Linked DNA regions of Macaca fascicularis. The protein of the gene in region 1 purifies or fractionates together with the protein of each later gene. This does not show direct contact. Links are inferred from orthologs where the notes say so. Each region holds a gene or a part of one and is shown on either strand. Other genes may lie near its edges.

What was found.
Region 2: the proteins of MAK (region 1) and KATNIP purify together in Homo sapiens (affinity purification with mass spectrometry; 3 studies listed by BioGRID and IntAct, with this or other methods). This does not show direct contact. The link is inferred for Macaca fascicularis from reciprocal best matches to the Homo sapiens genes MAK and KATNIP.

What each region holds. Positions count from the first base shown.
Region 1 is NC_088378.1:162,157,702-162,161,518, reverse strand, and holds part of MAK (serine/threonine-protein kinase MAK), read right to left. Parts: intron 1,464-3,817; coding exon 1,291-1,463; intron 1-1,290. UniProt on the Homo sapiens protein: Essential for the regulation of ciliary length and required for the long-term survival of photoreceptors. Phosphorylates FZR1 in a cell cycle-dependent manner. Plays a role in the transcriptional coactivation of AR.
Region 2 is NC_088394.1:26,855,401-26,859,072, forward strand, and holds part of KATNIP (katanin-interacting protein), read left to right. Parts: intron 1-1,101; coding exon 1,102-1,241; intron 1,242-3,094; coding exon 3,095-3,196; intron 3,197-3,672. UniProt on the Homo sapiens protein: May influence the stability of microtubules (MT), possibly through interaction with the MT-severing katanin complex.

The DNA.
Region 1 (3,817 bases):
ACTGTTCTTCCCATTCTTCTGTTTCAAAGAGGAAAAGAAAAAAAAAAAAAAAGAAAGAAAGTATCTTTCCAAAATATTCACCAAAACTTAACCCATCCTAACTTCAAAGTTGAGTAATACACTGAGGATGACCTCACTTATAAAAAGAAAAGGAACTGCTAGAGATATTAAACTTCCAGAAAAGACTCAGGAAATGATTGAAAAAAGTTTAGAACAGCAAGCAAGCAGATAATGAAATCTTCACACCATCAGAAGCAGCCGTTAACTTGGCATGTGGTGCTCTGCTTTCTGCAACGAGGCATGTCAATTTCAAAGGGGAATAATGATGGTCATTCACAAGAGCATCGTGAAAATGGAACAAGATCCCCTCTGATATGTTTTGGACATCTGTCCTCTCTAAATCTCATGTTGAAATGTAATCCCCAGTTTTGGAGGTGGGGCCTGGTGGGAGGTGTCTGGATCATGGGAGCAGATCCCTCATGAATGGCTTGGTACCATCCTTGCGGTAATGAGTGAGTTCTCACTCTGAGTTCCCGCGAGACTTGATCGTTTAAAAGAGTCTGCGACCTCCTCCCTCTCTCTCTTGCTCCCTCTCTTGCCCTGTGACAGGCTGGATCCTCTTCCACCTTCCGCCATGATTCTAAGTTTCCAGAAGCCCTCGCCAGAAGCAGATGCTGGCACTATGCTTCCTGTACAACCTGCAGAACCCTGGGCCAACACATTCTTTATAGCAATGCAAAAACGGACTGACACACTCTCTCTACACACCCCCCACGCCCACTCATCTGTTAATACTGAGAATTGTTACTGTGAGAAGATTCTTACCTTTTCAGAGGTATGTGGAAAGATTTGCATTTTGTGGAAGGAACCAACATATTAAGCAAACTTTTTTTCTTTTTTGAAATGGAGTCTCACTTTGTTACCCAGGCTGGATCGCAATGGCGCGATCTTGGCTCACTGCAACATCCGCCTCCCAGGTTCAAGAAATTCTCATGTCTCAGCTTCCCGAGTAGCTGGGATTACAGGTGCACGTCACCATGCCCGGCTAATTTTTGTATTTTTAGTAGAGACGGGGTTTCACCATGTTGGCCAGGCTAGTTTCAAACTCCTGGCCTCAAGTGGTCAACCCGCCTCCGCCTCCCAAAGTGTTGGGATTACAGGCCTGAGCCACTGCGCCCGGCCTATTAAGCAAACTTTTCTTCTTTTAAGGTCTACATGCATTTATATTTAATGAGTAAAATAAAGTGAATGCATGGCAAAAATAGTTTTCTGAGGAATTTGAAATCTTACCGAAATGGAGAATCTTTTTTCCTTTTGTCTTTAAAAACACCCATGCTTGGCTTCTTGGAATGGGAGGCTCCGAAATCATAGTCCTCCAACTCTTCCCAGCTGTCTCCAGACTTGAAGACAGTCTGACCCCAACGCCTCCTACCACTTTTATGACTCAGTGTGCCATTTGGCTTCTGTGGTGGAAAATCAGTCATAATCTTTAATCATGTACTGAATGCCTTTCATGCACAAGCTACTACGTAAGACACTAACAGTCCCCATTCTCAAGGAGCGTTCCATACACTTAAGGGCATAACATATATACACATTTAAAAGCATGAACAAAAATGGGCGGTACATGCCAAAAATATGACAGGTGTTCAGAGGAAAGATCTCTGTGAACTAGGTCGGTGGGAGACTTGAATATTTTGGATCTGAGTTGACTCTTCATTGACACGAAGGATCTGGAAACCCGAGACTTGGCTATGTCTCTTTGGGCAAGGGACTTAACTTCTCAAAGCCTTAGTGTCCTCCTTAATTGGGGACAGCCTTAATGAGAAGGACACTAAGGCTGGCATGTGCCAGCATCTTTTACTTTTCCCCCTCCTTGAATATACATGACATCCAAAGACACACCAGTCATCCTGTGGCCACAGGCATGACAGCCACCTGCTCAGGGTGGTGGAGCGGGAAGCCAGCAGCAGCCTGCCTCCTCTGCAAGCTACATGAGCTCCACCACCCAATTTCTTGTTATGTGAGAAAAACAACCCCTATTGTTTAAGCCACAGTGGTCGAGTTTTTGTCATAAGTCCCTGAATGTAATCCTAACGGAAACAGAGAGGGAAGTATGAGTCTGACTGCCACAGAATGGAGGCATTGTTAACAGAAATAAGGAACAGGAAAGAAGTCCTGGCTTGGAGCACACAATGAATTGGTTTTACACAAATTTACAGAGTGGTTTCAGGGCACATAAACAGAAAAATCCAAAAGGCAACTCAAAACTAGGGAATAGAGCATGGAAAATTTTCAGAAAATACAGCTATGTTGGGTGCAGGGAGATGCTTAAAGAACGGACATGCTATTGCTTGAAGCTGATGGTGTCACAGTGATAGTGATGGATGATAACAAAAAGCAGTATTTGCCAGCTTCTACACTATTATTTTCTCTGCCAGGCAGAACAATCTCCAGAATAAAGAGAATAAAAAAGTGTTAAGCTCCAGATGAGTAGGGTTAATAAAAGGTTACCCTGAGCTGAGTTTGAGCTTCCCTTCTGTTGAATTGTATTTTAGGGTGCCTATGCTGAACGCTGCTGAACAATGTCAGTGATATCCAAGAATCCTGTGTGTCTGAGAAGACTGGAAAGTGGCAAATATAATACTCTTAATAAAGTAGAAGATTTATTTTTGCAAACTCCACCTCAGTAAGTTTGGTAGAGGATGAGGGCAAAGGTTCTAAAATCAATTATTAAAGGGGATGTTTGTGAGCACTAAGGAAAAACAGTGATAGCTCATATAGACCACACTTTTTCATGAACGGCAAACAATGAATTCATTCAATGTAGTGTATGTGAACTTTAGCCCATTGGGTGAAGGCAGCAAAGGCGATCAGCACATAGTTGAAGAACTTGACCAAGAGTACTGATGAATGGATCAATGTCAGTCTAGGAGAAGGTTGTAGTGGCCTGCCCAAGATCTCACGGTCATCCTATTCATCATGAAGATTCAGGAGGAAAACAGATAACTAAACAAATACATAGCTGGCAAGAAGCTGGGCAGAATGGGTAAACCGAGAAGAAAAAATAAAGATTCAAAAATAATTAGAAATTGGAGATGTAAAAGGTCTTGCAACTTTTTGAATCCTAGAGATGAAATACACAAGTCAGAGGTACAGAATATGCAATTTAGGAGAAGCATTTATGAAAAAATTGGTATACTTAGAAATTTTAGTTGACACAATACTTAATCCCTGGATTAAGTATTGGAACTTACCTATATAAAAATGTGTGTATGTGTGGCGGGGTGGGGGGCTAGGTTATTCTCTTTAACTTAGAGAATACACACAGGGTCCCTAGCATATGCATGGCACTTAGTAGCTACTCAATAAATAGTAACTTCCTTTCCTTCCCTCACAGTATGAGTCAGCAATTGAGGCATCTTCTAAGCGGTTGTGGGGAGGACTGTAATCATTGGTGGCACGAGTGCACACATGGTTTAGAGTGTTGGAGGTGATTCGTTCTGCTCTATATTCCCTGCCTGCTGTCTGCCTCCAGTTCTGGCAGCCTCATTCTAAGTGGGAAGCAGGATGAGAGGGGACTTAAAGGCATATTCATAATAGGAACTGAGAGTTATCAGTCATTGGTGAATGGCGTTATATGCAGAGCCCTTAAGGGAAATGGAGATGTTTCTCTAGAGAAAAGGGCAGATAATATAAGGGCTATTTTCAAATATCTAAAAGGCTGCCTTTCTAGAAAAGTGATTAGCCTTCATTAAAAGCTAGAAAACCAGATTTTACCCAGTATAAGGAAGAACTTTCTAATATTCAGAATTGT
Region 2 (3,672 bases), on another chromosome or scaffold:
ATCTACCAGGCCCTGAAACACGCTGCTAATATTTACTGAGGGCTCACTCTGTGCTACCTCATCTGCCCTCACAAGAATCTTGTGAGGTGATTGCTGCTGTTATCCCCATTTTACAGATGAGGAGCCTGAGACACAGAGAAGTTGAGTAACTTGCCTAATGTCACACAGCCAGTGAGTCTGTGTCCAGACACTGGCTCTTGGCCAAGCACTAAGCTATCCTGCCTCTTTTATGTAACCTGCCTGGCCCCCTCGGATCTTGAATCTGTGATCGCTGGCCCACCACAGTTAGGGAAATACCAGGGCAGGTCGAACCCTAAAGCCTGCCTTGCATCTGTTTGGGGTCCCTGGCTTCCAGTCGGATCCCTTTCTGCCTTCCCCGGGTGCCACCACCCTCCTCAGCTGGGATGAATCATTGTTGATTTTTTTTAATCATTATTAGTGACTTCTCGAAGCTATAAAGTTTCATTGATTTTACCAAAGGGCTCTCATCTGGTGCACTCTGAGATCCTCACATCCATTCTGGGAGCTGGAGGTTTTTATAGCCATTTTACAGATGGGAACACAGGTCCAGGGTTGACATGTGACTTGCCCAAGCTCTCATAGGTCATAATGGCAGAGGCAGAGCTAGAAGCTGGGTTCTGCAGATCATATTAGCTGGGTCCAGCTGCCCCGGGTCCTTCCACACTGGCCAGGAAGAGAGGCTCGGCATGATCCTTACATGCCAGGGCAGAATCCAGCCACCACCCCATTCCCTTCCAAAAGAAAACCTCCGCAGAGCTTGCCCTCCACCCTCCCAAGCAGCAGCAGCGTTTTACGTCCCCAGCTCCAGCCGCTCCCTGCAAGGCCTCTTTTTCAGCCTTCTAGGTGGTTTCCTTCTCTCTCTACTTGAAACTGTCCACCTCTCCACACACACCTGCTCCCCTTGGGCCTGGCACTCCCCATTTCCCCAGCACATGTCCAGTTCAGCTGTCACTGCTGCGGCTGCCCAGAGCATCAGCCCTGCCAGCCCCAGAGTCCCTCGAGCCACGCTGTCAGCCTGAGGGCAGCTGGCAGCCCCCGAACACACAGATTTGGGTTATGGCAACTTAGACGCCTCCTCAGATATTGCGGCCTTCCCTGACAGCGTGAACTCCCTGGAGGGCGTAGGTGGGGACGTCCGCACCCCGGACAAGCTCATCGACCAAGTGAACGACACCAGTGATGGCCGGCACATGTGGCTGGCTCCCATCCTGCCAGGCCTGGTGGGTTCCCAGCAGCGGCCACCGCAACTCCTGGCCCTCAGGCGGCCAGGGGGACTTTCTTTCCCTGGTCTCAGTGACGCATCTTTCTTCCAGGTCAAGTTAATCTCAAGCCAAGATGCTTGGGAGCTGTCAGAAAGGTTTAGGTCTTTGCTACCTTGCCTGATGGGGCCAGCTCTTCCAGGCCAGCAATTCTGTCTCTTTTATAAGGGGACACCAGGGGTGAAAGGGGCCCCATGGGAATCTGAAGCCAGGAACCCCAGCACAGCTGCCTGAGGGCTTGGTCTTCCTTGGTCCCTGCAGGCAGCCCTCTCTGGTTCTCTGCTCTGCCTGGCTTTGCAGCCGCTGTGCCCTCTTCCTCCCCACCCAGCTCTCTGCACGCTCACAGTTTCTGCCTCTTCCTACATCACCGGGTAGATGACCCCAACACGGCCGCCCTGCCCTCCTTCTGGCCCCAAATTGGCCTGGTCAGCTTTTCCGGCCAACTGACTCAGTTTCCCAGATCTCAAACCTTGCACTGAGTCCTGCTTAGCTTTTAGCTCTGAGGCCTCATGGTGAGCTGATGTGGTTGGTTGTGGTGGAGAGGAAGGGGAGAAGCCACAGGGCATGGACGGGGTGGTCAGCCCCCCTCCAGCCTCTCAGCCCGGGGCCAGATGCCTGGTAGGGATGCACAGCGGGTTCTTGACAGCCATATGACCAAGGATGTGTCCCTTGTCCATGCCATGGGACTGAATGGGGGATCGGGGGCACCTTTTTCTCTCAAAATGCAGGAAGGTACAGCGTCAGCAATTCTATGATGGAAGTTTTCCAAAGGCCACCCTAAAATTAGACCCCCCCTATTGAGCGTCCATCAGCTTCCCCTGCCCCATTGGAGAGGGGGCAACACAGCTCTGTCCTCCCTGAGACCCGGGCCACCCACTGGCGGCCAGTGTGTATTTTCCATTGTCTAGCACTGGAAGGCCTTTTGGGGTGAGGCAACTTCAGCTGTTGCTCTCGAGGCTGGACTCCAACATCTGTATCTGCTTGAGCCTCACAGGCAACTGACTTTGAGGACCCTCGCCCTGACCTTTATTTGTTTCCATGGTCCAGCCAGGAGGCTGGCCCTCCCCGAGCAGCCCCACTCCCTCTTGGGACATTCTGAGGATGGTCACAGGCTGGGGACCGAGGCCCGGGGCGGGACTGAGCCTGCAGCCTGTAGCCAGTGTGGAATGCTTATTTCTTGATTCTATCTTGCAAGGGAGGGTCCCCCCGCTAATATCTGAGAGCCTTGGTTGGGGGTGGGGAGAGGGAGAGCTGTTCGAGGCTGCCCCGTCCCACTTTCCCCACTGGATTCTGCCCCAATCTAGACAGCCCTCCTTACTCCCCCAGCAGAGGTTCACAGACACGCACTGGACATTGCCCAGCAGCACCTTGGCATTGCTTCTCAGCGATGGTTTGGGGAAAGGACAGACAGGGTCAGAAGCTGATCACCATGGCTGGTGCTCAACCCGAGCTGGAGACTGTCCCTTTAGCTCACGGGGCTCTACACTATTTCTGGGCCTGACCTGAGGGGACATAGGGGATGGCCAAGGATGTTCCCAATTCTCCACTGGCATTTAAATGAGGGCCCCGCCAGGCCCAAGCACACAGGCCCTCCAAGAGCCAGCTCAGCGGTTTGTTGCAAACGCAGCCACACGTGACCTGACTCAAGATGGGCTTCGAGGAGATGAAAGGGGGCGGAACTCCAGGCTGGCCCACGTGGCAGGCGCTGCCTTGGGCACCACTGCTCACCCCCAGCCCACGCCTGGCGCCCCCAGCCCAGCCAAGTGCCTCTGTTTCCAAACATGCCTGTTTTAATTAGTTCTGCTCTCTGACAGGTGAACCGGGTTTATGTGATTTTCGATCTGCCTACCACCGTGTCAATGATCAAACTGTGGAATTATGCGAAAACACCCCATCGAGGGGTGAAGGAGTTTGGCGTAAGTACTTATTAGCTGAGTTTTTTGAGATAATTATGTTCGTTGGTAATTAGGCCGCCGGCAATTATCATTTGTCGCAGTTTGATTTACTTCTCTCTGTTGCAACCCTCAACACAAATGCCTGGTCCTCAGATGCAGGCAAATTTACCACCCAACCATGAATTCAGAACCTCCTGGCAGTGATTTCAGTGTCACCCTGAACAAATAGAAAGTGGGTTCTCTTTCATCTTTTTCTCTAGAATCCCACTGGTTTGGGGCAGTGACCCTGGGATGGGGAGAACAGGGACCCTGGAGACCAGAGACCTGTTTCCTTCCAGCTCTGCTGCTTGTGCTAATGGTATTAAAGCCCCTCAGGCCTCAATTTCCTCATCTGCAATGTGGGCTGATGGCTCCTGTCTTTCCCAACGGCTGTGAAGATCTGAAATCACAAGGCAGGCACAGCACATAGCAGGCACTTGTTCCTGGCAGCCCCGTCT